3 linked regions of the Cricetulus griseus genome follow. The protein of the gene in region 1 purifies or fractionates together with the protein of each later gene. This does not show direct contact. Links are inferred from orthologs where the notes say so. Each region holds a gene or a part of one and is shown in the gene's direction. Other genes may lie near its edges. The genes, in order: Nasp, Asf1b and Asf1a.

Region 1 (4,363 bases):
CAGAAACGGGTGTGGTGACACTCAGGTAGCACTTGTGAAGTGGAGGCAGGAGGATCAGGAATGCAAGATCATCCTTGGCTATGTAAAGCTGGAGGCTAGGATCAGCTATATGATACTATCTAAAAAACAAACAAAATCCCAGTGCTCAGGGGGCAGAGGCAGGCAGATCTCTGAATTTGAGGCCAGCCTGGTCTACAGAGCAAGTTCTAGGACAGCTAGGTCTACACAGAGAAACCCTGTCTCAAGAAACAAAACAACAATAAGGGTTCCTGATTTAAATATCTTATCTTGTTTAACATTAAAAAAAATTTAAAAAGCTGGTCAGTGGTGGTGCACATCTTTAATCTCAGCACTTGGGAGGCATAGGTAGGCAGATCTTTGTGAGCCATCAACGCCTGGCTTCCTGTACATAATTTTAAAAATTAAAAATATTTGAGACAGGATCTCATTATGTTTCTTGGTTGTCCTGGAATTCACTATATAAATCAGACTGCCTGGAACTCAGAGATCCCGAATGTCTCTAGAGTGTTGAGACTAAAGGTGTTTGTGACCACACCTGACCTTTTAAACAAGTTATTTTTATTATTATTATTTAGTTTTGTTTTTCAAGAAATGGTTTCTTGCAGGGTGGTGGTGGTGCATGCCTTTAGTCCCAGCACTCGGTAGGCAGAAGCAGGCAGATCTCTATGAGTTACAGGCCAGCTTGATCTAAAAGAGCTAGTTCCAGGACAGCCTCCAAAGCCACAGAGAAACCCTGCCTCAAAAACAAAAACAAAAAAGGTTTCTCGGTGTACTCTGGTTGTCCGGAGTCTAGCTTGGTAGATCAGGCTGGCCTTGAACTCAGGGAGATCCACCTGCCTCTGTCTCCTGAGTGCTGGGATTAAAAGCGTAGGCCACCACGCCCCACCAAAAAAGTTATTTTTAAAAGATTCCACTTTATTTTATATGTGTGAGTGCTTACTTGCATGCATATACGTGAACCATGTGTGTGCCTAGGGCTTCTGGAGGTTAGAGGACGACACTGGATACCCTGGAAGCGGAGTTACTGACAGTTGTAAAATAAGATGGGTATGGTGGAGCTCACTTGTAATTTCAGCACTTGGGAGGCGAATCTCTGTGAGTTAGAGGCCAGCCAGGGACATAGTGTGAGTCCCTTTCATATGTACTAAAGATAGAAGTAAGATAGCTAAAAAATTTAAAGTGTTTTAAGTACAGGGATTCAGCTCAACAACTCAGTGTTGGAATGTGGGTAGGGTGTCAGATGAGGGCGTCACTGGATTGGGCCAGCCAAAGGCGCGTGGATCTAGAGAGAGGAGGAAACATCCCTACTCCTTTGCCCCTCTGAGTTTTGAATCTAGCGCGATAGTTTCATCTGTAGCCAATCGTAGAGCAGCACCTTCTTTCGTCAGTAGTTGCTGAGGCCCAGAGCCACGAGTCTCTCGGGTCAGTTCTAGCCGTTGCTGTTGTACTCGTGCTCGGCTCTTGCGTTTCCATCCGTTAAGACTGAGAGGGCATACAGAAGACCTGTCACCTTCTCGGGTATCCCCGCCAGAAAGAAACCCTCGGCTACTCTTTCCACGCCCGCAGAGACTCACTGGCTCCACTTAACGTGGAGGCTCTGGCTGGCTCCATCAGAAGTTGTAGTGCCAAGATTCTGGTGCTTCTAACACGGCCAGCTACCGGGAGCAGGAAGTTCTTTTGTTGTTCGATTTTCTTTTCTTTCCAAGGAAAAGCGGGCCCGGGCGGGAAGATACCCAAACGGGAAGGGCTGCGGGGAGGTGTCCTTGTGACGGAGAGGTGTTGAGTTCTGGCCCTTTAAACCCAAGGGGGAGGATCCGGAAGTGGATGGGCGGGGCAAGCGGCCCCGATATATAAGAGGGCCCCAACCGCGCGGGGTCTCCAATCTGCCATTTTCTGTGCCTGAGTAAGTCTTTGCTGTCCTGAATTCTCTGTTCTCTCCACAGGCAGTGCTCTGCCCACCGGCCCACCGCGTCAGGGGAACGATGGCCACAGAGTCTACAGCCACTACTGCCGTCGCCGGAGAGCTGGCTTCCGCTGACAAGTAAGCCGGACTGTGGCGAGCGGGAGGCGCTGGCCAGTCCGTGGGGAGAGCTGTGGACTGGCTTCGCGGGCCGGAGGGCGGGCGGGCGGCGGGCCCGGCGGGGGGGTGGGACAGCTGCCTTTCCCTGGAGAACTGCGGCTGTCCGGAGGGAGCGGGGCTGTGGAGAAGCCCCCCCCTCAGGCGGCGCTGGCGACCGGCGCTAACGGCGGGCGGCTGGCGCCCCCTGCCCGGCTTTCCGCGGCCGCCATCTTGCCGGGGGCAGCGGCGGCTGTCTCCATCGCCTGCCCTTTTTCTTCCTCCCCCGGCCCGGGGCTGCCGCCGGTGGGGAGGCGGGGCCCCCCCGTCGCCGGTCCCCTCTTGAGCTCTTACTCTCGGCGCACTAGCGGGAGAGTCTGTAGAGGAATCTAGAAAACGACCAACAGATTTGGCGCCAAAAGAAAAAAAAAAAAAAAAAAACCTACACACGAGGATTGAGGCTCAGACCTGAGGGACCCGAGTGGGCGGGGCCTCGAGGAGGGCGGGACTTTGCACGCGTGCGTTCCGTGTCCCGGCTCTGGAGACGGGGGCGGGGCCTCGAGGAGGCGGGAAAACTCCATTGTTTGGGGTTTGGAGCGGCTCCTGCGGCAGCCGCTGGGCGCAGTGAAGTTTATCTCGTTGACTGTGTAGTTGACTGTAACCCGCGGGGTCGTTACGCGACCGAAGCCCTGCGACTCTCCGCTTTTGCTGAGAACCCTCAGGGTGTCCTTAGACTTTCCGTGTGTGGGTCGGAGATTTGGTTGCTCCAGGGGTCATTTTCACACTGATGGCTTCTTCGGTAAACGCTACACGGAGAATTCCGTACTTGCTAGATGAGTCTGCTAAGATAAAAGGACCCCCCCCCCCCCAAGAGGGAATAATTGCTTTGAGAGCTTCACAGTGCTAATCAAACATGAGCTACTTTTTTGGATAGTGCACAGAAACGGCCCATCATTTGGAGGAAACAAGTTTTCCGTACAGTAGGTCCTACTTTCCAATCTTCCCTTGTCTTTTAGGTGCCTGCTAATATTTTTTTTTTAATTTATTTATTAGTTCTAGTTAGGGAACAAGCTTGTTCACATGTAAATCCCTTCTCTCTCTCCCTCTCCCTCCCCTCACCCCATCCCTCCTCCCCCACCCCCAGCCTACCCCCACTCCATCCACCCACCACTCCCCAGGCAGGGTAGGGCCCTCAACGGGGGGCTCTGCAAAGTCCACCAAATCTTCCTGTGCCTGCTAATATTTTTTTCCGTCCCTGTACATTTTAGAAGTTTTTCCTCTGGTAAAAGTAAAGTTGGCTGTGGGGTTTTTGAGTGTTTTTTTTTTTTTTTTTTTTTTGCTGTAGGTTTAGGCATACTAGTTGACTTTTCAATTAGTACAGTTGTACCAGATATTAACGTATCTTTGCATACTTTACCTGTCACCTTTTGGTTCCTTTTCTAGTGGATTCTTGAAAAGCAGTGTTTCTCAAATCACCAATTTCCTGCCTCCTCATTGATTTCTTAGGGCCAGAGTAGCTTGAGTTAGGAAAATCTGTAGAATTTATTTATTTCAAGACAGGGTTTCTCTGTGTAACAGTCCTAGCTCTCCTGGAATTCTCTTTGTAGATCAGGCTGACCTCAAACTCACTGAGATCCACCTGCCTCTGCCAGTTTGGCCTCGAACTCTGAGATCTGCCAGCCTCTGCCTCCCAAGTGCTGGGATTAAAGGAAGGCCTGTACCACCACAGACCGGCTTTGTTTTTTGTCTATAGTTTTTATTATTATTATTATTATTTTGAGTCAATTAAAAAAATGTTATGGGATTGGAGAGATGGCTTAGCAGTTAAGACCACTGGCTACTCTTCCAGAGGACCTGAGTTCAATTCCAAACAACCACATGGTGGCTCACAGCCATAGTGGGATTTGATGCCCTTTTCTGGCATGCATAAAGTTGTACATACCAGGCTGGTCTCAGAGATTCATCTGTCTTTGCCTTCCCCATGCTGGGATTAAAGACTTGCACCACTACCGACAGGCATATAACGAGGGCTCTTAACTGCTCATCTATCCATCTTCAGTCTCATTAAGTAAATTCTTATTGACTCACATGACTATAGTGTGAAGTCTTAAATTTTTCTACACGTCAGAAAAGTCAAGTTTAGAATGGAGAGATTGTCAAATTATTATTTTGAGTTTTCATTTCTTCAATTTCCATGAAAAATCTTGTCTGTCAGGAAATTGTATAATGAGTTTTTGAGAAAAGTAAAGACAGAATGCTTCAGTAAAGTAAGTTGGAGGCGGTATT
Region 2 (4,294 bases), on another chromosome or scaffold:
AGCACGTGCTAGGCTGTTATGGCTGCCGAAACACGGAGCTGGTCCCTTCAAAACATGTACAGGAGTCCAAAAATTTCTCACTGAATAAAAGGATGCAGGATAGCTCATTAGCATTTTTATACTGATAATGTTTGAAATTAGCATTTTTGTTCTATTGAGTTAAATGTAATACTAAAATCAATCTCTCATCGTTTCTTGGCCTTTTAAGGATGGTCAAATGTGAAAACCAATTTATCTATTCATTTACTTCCCCAAAATCACTGTGTAAACCAGGCAGGCCTTGAACTCGCAGACGTCTGCCTACCTCAGGCTCCTGAGTGCTGGGATTAATGGATATACACCGGCACTCCAGGCGTTTTGTTTTGTTTCCTTTAAAAGACTTATTAGTAAAAGGTCTGTGGCTAGCATTATTTCTCACTGGTTGTATGTGTAAGAGACTGTGGCAGGGTTAGGGAGCCAGAGGGGCATGGAGTGAAGACCGCATTATATCGTCATAAATAGTGGCAGTTAACTTTCTTCTGTTTTTGTTTTTTCCAGACAGGGTTTCTCTATGTAGCCCTGGCTGTCCTCGAACTCAAGAGACCCGCCTGCCCCCGCCTCCGGAGTGCGCCACCACCCCAGGCCTTCGCAGTGAATTTTTCAACCGGTTGGAAAACAGGCTGGAGAGAGGATCCAAACCCTGGTACGTCGACGAACTTCAACTCCTTTCGGACCGGGACTCCATCCTGGGTCCCCACTCGCTGCCGCGCCATCTTGTCTCAGGGGTGCTCCAAATGTTCACGGCCGCTGTCCTCAAGGCCAGGAGTCCCTCAGAGGAGCTCCCGGAAACGCTCACCAGCGGACAAACGGAGGCCAGAGCGCCGCCATCACGCTTGCCTCTTCATGCTTTTCACTGAGCCGGAGGGCGGCTTCCAGCGCAGCCCTCCTTGTGCCGCGACATTAGCCAATCACATCTCAGAAGCCTACTGAAGCCCCGCCCCGTGGTCGCTAGTCAATCACGGCGAGTTCTGGCTCCCTTCTTTCAGCGCTCTTAAGTAAGAGTCGCGCGCCACCGTTCGGCCGTTAGTGGCTCTGCTCTCTGTGGGGTGTGCCTACCGGAAGAGCAGAATGAGGGGGCGGGTCACGCCGATGCGGTAACCCTTGGGATTGGACAAGAGAAGTTCCGCGCTCTAACTCCGCCCACCCCGGCGCAAGATATTCGAGTCGGAGACGCTAGGGATTGGTTCCGGATGGACACTTTGCGAAGCTAAAAGATGATCGTTCCGCCTCCCGCGGACCGTGAAGAGGAAGCTTCTCTGATTGGTCCGCGGGTCGAGGCGCAAACCGGAAGAAGCCTCAGGATTGGCTGGCGGGGCTCTCGCGCCGTCATAGATCCTTAGCGGCGATTGGCTGGAGGGTGGAGTCAGCTATTTGAAGGCCGCGCGCGGACGCGAGACGCTCTTTAGAGAAGAGTTGGAGTCGCTGAGAGGTTCTCTGCCTCGGCGACCTCCTCTTCCCCAGCCGCCATTGGCTGCGCAGGACACCGGAGAAGGCTCCACTGCAGCTGTGACCCCCTGGCGAGGTGATGGCCAAGGTGTCGGTGCTGAACGTGGCTGTCCTGGAGAACCCGAGCCCTTTCCACAGCCCCTTCCGGTTCGAGATCAGCTTCGAATGCAGTGAGGCCCTGTCTGACGGTGAGGCTGGGCCTGTGCAGGGGACCCCAAACCCTCTTGCCCTCATTTTTGCCACTCCCAGCCTCCCCGGGAACTTCTCCACTCAGAGATAAGCCTCCGTGGTCCAACTCGGTGGATAGGATCCAGTGCACGGTAACCTGCACTGTCTCGTGGAGGCACCCCTCGTCCTGAACCACTTGTCCTTGGCACCTTTTCTTTGTAGTGGTGTAAGCCTCCATCTAGCGTGTAAGAGACCGCGGCTACGCCTTCTTCCCAATGGCTAGACTCCATTTTCATGCCTATTTCCCCATAGAAAACCTCCCATCTATTCTCTCTTCCATGGAAACCCAACCTCCAGTACCCTCCCCCATTTTCCTTATGGACGGCTTTTCTACAGACCAGCAGACCCTCCTCTTGCTACCCTGTCTGCCCATGGCAAGACCTCTTCCACCCCATTTGTCTCCCATCGATACCATCCCCAGACATCTCCACATTTGTCCCTAGCAACTCCTCCTAGCCAACTGTAACGTCATGGCTGTTGTCCAGACCGGGGCCTCTCTTTAGGTTAGTACCATATCCTATGCATGACCTTCCCCCGGGGAGGGATGGGGTCTTCTGGCTCTTTGTAGATAACTTGGCCTCCCCAGCTCCTGGTCTGGGATTGGATGAACACTCGGGAAAGGGGTGCTACAGCCAGGCAGGCCTCTGCCAGTTTTGGGATTTCTACCAGCTTCCAGCAGACTCAGTGTAAGGAATCCCTCCTTCCTTTTGATGGGCTGACCTGGTGGTGGTGGGGGGTGACTGACCAAACAGGGATGGGATTCAACTTCAGTCAGCTGGGGAGAGAGACCGCTGGCCTTTGTGAATCTTTCACAGAATGACTTCATTCATCTGCAGGACATAAAGGTGGACGTGGCTGTTAGATGACAGGACAAGGGCCACAAAGACCAAAAGACCTTTGAAATAAGTCTGTGAACACATTAACCATGAGGTCACTTTGTAGTCTCAGCTCCACAGCAAGGCAATGTGTAGCATGTTTAATAAAAACCCAGAGACAGATATTGGGGTTAAAGCTGAAGATCAGAGAAGCAAAGTAGCCAGCCACTAGCTCTTACCTCTACCTCAGACAGAAAGGGTGATCCTGTCCTTAGATTGCATGTCCAGACTGTACTGCTGCTCAGACTGCCTCAGACTGCACATCCTTGTCTCCTCCCGCCTTATAGTCCTCTCTATTGATGGGATTAAAGGTATAGGATCCCAAGTGCTGAGATCACCTTTCTTTGAGCTCTGTTTCTCTTTCAGACTGGCTCAATTTTGTGTAGCTCAGGTGGCCTCGAACTAACAGAGCTCTGTCTGCTTCTGTATCCCAAGTGCTGGGATTAAAGGTGTGTACCACCACTGCCTGGCCTCTATGGCTAGCTAGTGTGGCTAGCTTTGCACTCTGATCTTCAGGCAAGCTTTATTTGTTAGATCATAAACAAAATATTAACACTAGGCAAGTCCTGCTTTTAGGAGGAAACACTCCTCATTTTCCTACTGAGGGTTGAAAGATGTAGCAGCTGAGGAGGTGGAGCTCTGAGAGGCTAGGTTGTGAAAACTAGTGCCTCTTGGTGGCTGTGGTTGGTGTTCAGACAAATCCAGCCACTTCTGTTCACCTGGAGCTGCTATAATGTGTGCTTGGGGTGGGCCACTGGCTGATCCTCTCCCTAGTTTCTCCTTAAGTTTAAAGGAATCTACTTGTGGCTTAACTATAGAATAAAGCTGGGTTAAATCCTTGCTGGAACAAGGTAGGGTGTAAATAAATAAAATATAGGGTAACAATGTGGGATAAGATTTATTTGGAAGCCAAGAGGAGACATAAATCAATGGAATCACAGTTCCCAGATGCTGAGAGAGCAGGTTTCAATCAGCCTGAGTGTGCTCTTTGCAAATAAAAATGGTTGCATGGTCATTACCTAATATTACTTTGATTCCTTATTTATGGAATTAGGACATCAAGGCTAAAGTCAGCTGCTGGCCATTGTAATACGAGCAGGATGATTTCTCCAAGTCAGCCAGACAGTAAAGTGTTACCACTGAAGTTTGTTTCTGAGTTCAGATTTTTTTTTTAATTTTATTTTTTGAATTTAATTTGTGGGTGTGGGCTAGAGACACCAGATGGTCTTCCTCAACTGCTCTTCATTGCTCTGTACCATTTTTTTTTCTTTAAAAAAAAAAATGTGTGTGTTTTGTCTACATGTATTTATGGTACCACTTGAGTGCTTGGTACCACAGAGTTTAAGAGAAGGAGTTGGGTGTCCTGGAACTGGAGTTACAGACTTTGGGAGTCACCATGCAGATGGTGGGAACCTGCCTGGCCTCTAGGAGAGCAGCTAGTGCTCTTAACCCATGGGCAGTCTCCAGCCCTGTTCTACCTATTTTAATCTCTGCAAAACCTGGAGCTCTAACACTACTAGGCTGGCTGTCTAATGAGCCAGGAACCCACCATCTCTTCCTCCTCAATAGTGGGGGTTTTGTTTGTTTGTTTTTTGAAACAGGATTTCACTACATAGTTCTGGCTGGCCTAGAACTCACAGATCTTTGATCTGTTTGTCTCTGCCTCCCCAGTGCTGGGATTAAAGGCATGCACCACCACACCTGAC
Region 3 (2,659 bases), about 220 Mb from region 1:
ATCCACTTGCCTCTGCCTCCCAAGTGCTGGGATTAAAGGTGTGTATCAGCACTGCCTGGCTCTTAGTATTCCTTTTTAGTTATGTGTACTATTCAGTTTTGAGGGGGGTTGCTATTTCATTCTATAACATGGCCGTAAAGAAATTTGAAGTTTTGTAGTGTTTGAACAAACTAATTGTTCCATTTGCACGGAAGGCCTCAATCCTGTCTCTCCAGGAATTAATGTTCCATGGGTACCCTGAGTCAGATGGTCTAGCTTCCTGCAAAGAGCAGGCCTTCATTGCCGTTAGGTCTTTTATTTCAACCTTGAGGACATGTAATGTCTTATTTTTGTAGTGAAGTGATTATAAAAATATTTTTGCCTATAACTTCCTAAAATCACAGCAAGAAGATAAATGTGGTTTATTGGTCATTTCTTTTGTGATGGTTTTGAGACAGGGCTTTCTGCTGTAACCCAAAGTGGCCCTGAACTATGGCTATGGCATTGTTCCTCAGTTGTCCAGGCTTTCGGATTACAGTTGTCACCATGCCCAATGTGTGCTTATTTCTATTAATATTTAGAATATCTGTATATGTTATCCTGTCTGCTATTATTAGAGCTTAAACTAAAGGTATTAAGTATTTCTGATAATGACAACTTAAATTCTGAGACATCAAAATCTGATTCAGTAGTCTTAAAATCACTTAGTATCTTAGATTTTTTTCAACTGGTAATGGTTACCAGTCTTAGTTACTGTGATTTTTTTTTACTCTGTGTGGTACTCTATGTGGCAGACTTGCCACAGACTAGAGACTTCTGCTTTCTGCTGGTGCAGGTGGGATATCTTCCACAATTTAGAGACATCCTGTTGAGCTAGGATTAGTAGAACCTTTGTATAGCAGAAAACAAAACAAAACAAAACACTAGAATACTGTTTCTAAAAATGAATTTTAATACATTACAGTTAAGATCCCAGTAATTAGAGGTTCTATTTGAGGAAAATTTTCAAGTCTTGTTTTTTGTTTTATTTCTTGGTGCTTATTTGAACCTAGGGACTTAGCCAGAGTACTTTTTTTGCACTATGTTCCCAGCCTGAAAACACATTAGGCTAAAGGCATGCTTATTTAACTAAAAACATCCTTTAAAGGGTGTGCAGAAGTACCTCCCTTCCATTATCCTTTAAGAAGCAGAAATATAAAAGCAAGGTACTTTGTGTGTTGGGGGCGGGGAGGTTGGAAGATCTAGATGGATTTTTTTCTTACCTTGTTTCCAAGGGGGAATAGTTCTTTTGCTATTTGCTATTGTAGTCCTTGCTTATTAGTTAGGTTTAAGTGCTTCACTTGCTGATACATTTGCATATGAATTTAGTCCTTTAAAAGGACTGCCAGAGCCACTCAGTTTGCATATGGTAATCTTAACTTTCCTGGTGCTCATCATTTAAATGTTTCTTTTCTAGCTTCAAAGAAATATTTTGGCATCTAATCCCAGAGTCACAAGATTCCACATTAACTGGGAAGATAACACAGAAAAACTGGAAGATGCAGAGAGCAGTAATCCAAATCTACAGTCCCTTCTTTCAACAGATGCATTACCTTCAGCATCAAAGGGATGGTCCACGTCAGAAAACTCACTGAATGTCATGTTAGAATCCCACATGGACTGCATGTGACCAGGTGCCATCCCAGTAGTACAGATTAAGCTATTAAAAACAGAACTATTTCCCTGAAGTTCCGTAAGTACATAGTCAAGGTGAAATGTGAAGAGAATTTGTTTAAAAACATCCTGTAGAAAGTTTATAAGAAAACCAGTATTTGAGCAAATTGTGGAATATAAATACAACTATTTTTAAGTACTTTCTTTCTCTAATGTGTTATTTTATTTGTTCATGAAACTAATCTGGTTAAAGTATATATATATTATTTTCTTCTTTATATGTAATTAAAGCACTTATAAAAAGAAAACTTATCAATTATTAGACCAGGTTGTGAAGGTGTTTTAGCCTCTTGGACAGTAATACTTTTTACTAGCCTTTAAAAGAACAAAGTTTACTTCAACTAAAATGCTTTTTCCTGTGAAGACAGTGTCCTTTCAATTTAAGGAGCAAACTTCCATACTGTAGTAAAAAGAAAAAAAAAAAGAGAGATGTCTTTAAAAAGGGAATCTGAAATCAACTGTAGCCACCAAGGTTTTTCTAGGCCACCCCAGTGTGTCTTGTGGCTACCACCACAGCTTGTGTTAACACTGGACTTCTGGTTTCTATGTAATAAATGCGGCTACCTTTGAAGTCCTTCTGACTATGGCTTATGCTTCCCTACTTCTAAAACTGAGAAACCATGATCATAAATCATTGTCCAAAGATTTCAACATGGTGAGAATAAACGCAAGGTTTCTAAAGTATAAGATTAGATTATAATGGCTCAGATCTGCTATTCAGTTTATAGAAACTCCGAACATGTGTTTTTGGCACTGTTGCTACAGAAAGGTAATTTAGAAAGGTCTACTTAGCTTTATCCTATTAGGCTGGCTACCTTCAGAAGTATGTCTTAGGTTCACAGCTACAATACCCCATATCCTCTGCTTCTCATTAAAATGATAAGATCAGGGCACATCTGTAGTTGACATATTCTAGACCGATTTCCAGACAGTTGAAGAACAATTTTAGAAAGGAATTTACCAAATA

What was found.
Region 2: the proteins of Nasp (region 1) and Asf1b purify together in Homo sapiens (affinity purification with mass spectrometry; 5 studies listed by BioGRID and IntAct, counting the BioPlex papers as one, with this or other methods). This does not show direct contact. The link is inferred for Cricetulus griseus from reciprocal best matches to the Homo sapiens genes NASP and ASF1B.
Region 3: the proteins of Nasp (region 1) and Asf1a purify together in Homo sapiens (affinity purification with mass spectrometry; 6 studies listed by BioGRID and IntAct, counting the BioPlex papers as one, with this or other methods). This does not show direct contact. The link is inferred for Cricetulus griseus from reciprocal best matches to the Homo sapiens genes NASP and ASF1A.

The regions. Positions count from the first base shown.
Region 1 is NC_048595.1:35,763,360-35,767,722, forward strand, and holds the start of Nasp (nuclear autoantigenic sperm protein), read left to right. Parts: upstream 1-1,416; 5' UTR 1,417-1,539; intron 1,540-1,890; exon of another isoform or gene 1,891-1,964; 5' UTR 1,965-2,003; coding exon 2,004-2,062; intron 2,063-4,363. UniProt on the Homo sapiens protein: Component of the histone chaperone network. Binds and stabilizes histone H3-H4 not bound to chromatin to maintain a soluble reservoir and modulate degradation by chaperone-mediated autophagy.
Region 2 is NC_048596.1:160,459,067-160,463,360, reverse strand, and holds the start of Asf1b (histone chaperone ASF1B), read left to right. Parts: upstream 1-1,407; 5' UTR 1,408-1,564; coding exon 1,565-1,673; intron 1,674-2,175; exon of another isoform or gene 2,176-2,216; intron 2,217-2,281; exon of another isoform or gene 2,282-2,317; coding exon of another isoform or gene 2,318-2,399; intron 2,400-4,294. UniProt on the Homo sapiens protein: Histone chaperone that facilitates histone deposition and histone exchange and removal during nucleosome assembly and disassembly. Cooperates with chromatin assembly factor 1 (CAF-1) to promote replication-dependent chromatin assembly.
Region 3 is NC_048595.1:255,430,284-255,432,942, reverse strand, and holds the end of Asf1a (histone chaperone ASF1A), read left to right. Parts: intron 1-1,435; coding exon 1,436-1,648; 3' UTR 1,649-2,125; downstream 2,126-2,659. UniProt on the Homo sapiens protein: Histone chaperone that facilitates histone deposition and histone exchange and removal during nucleosome assembly and disassembly.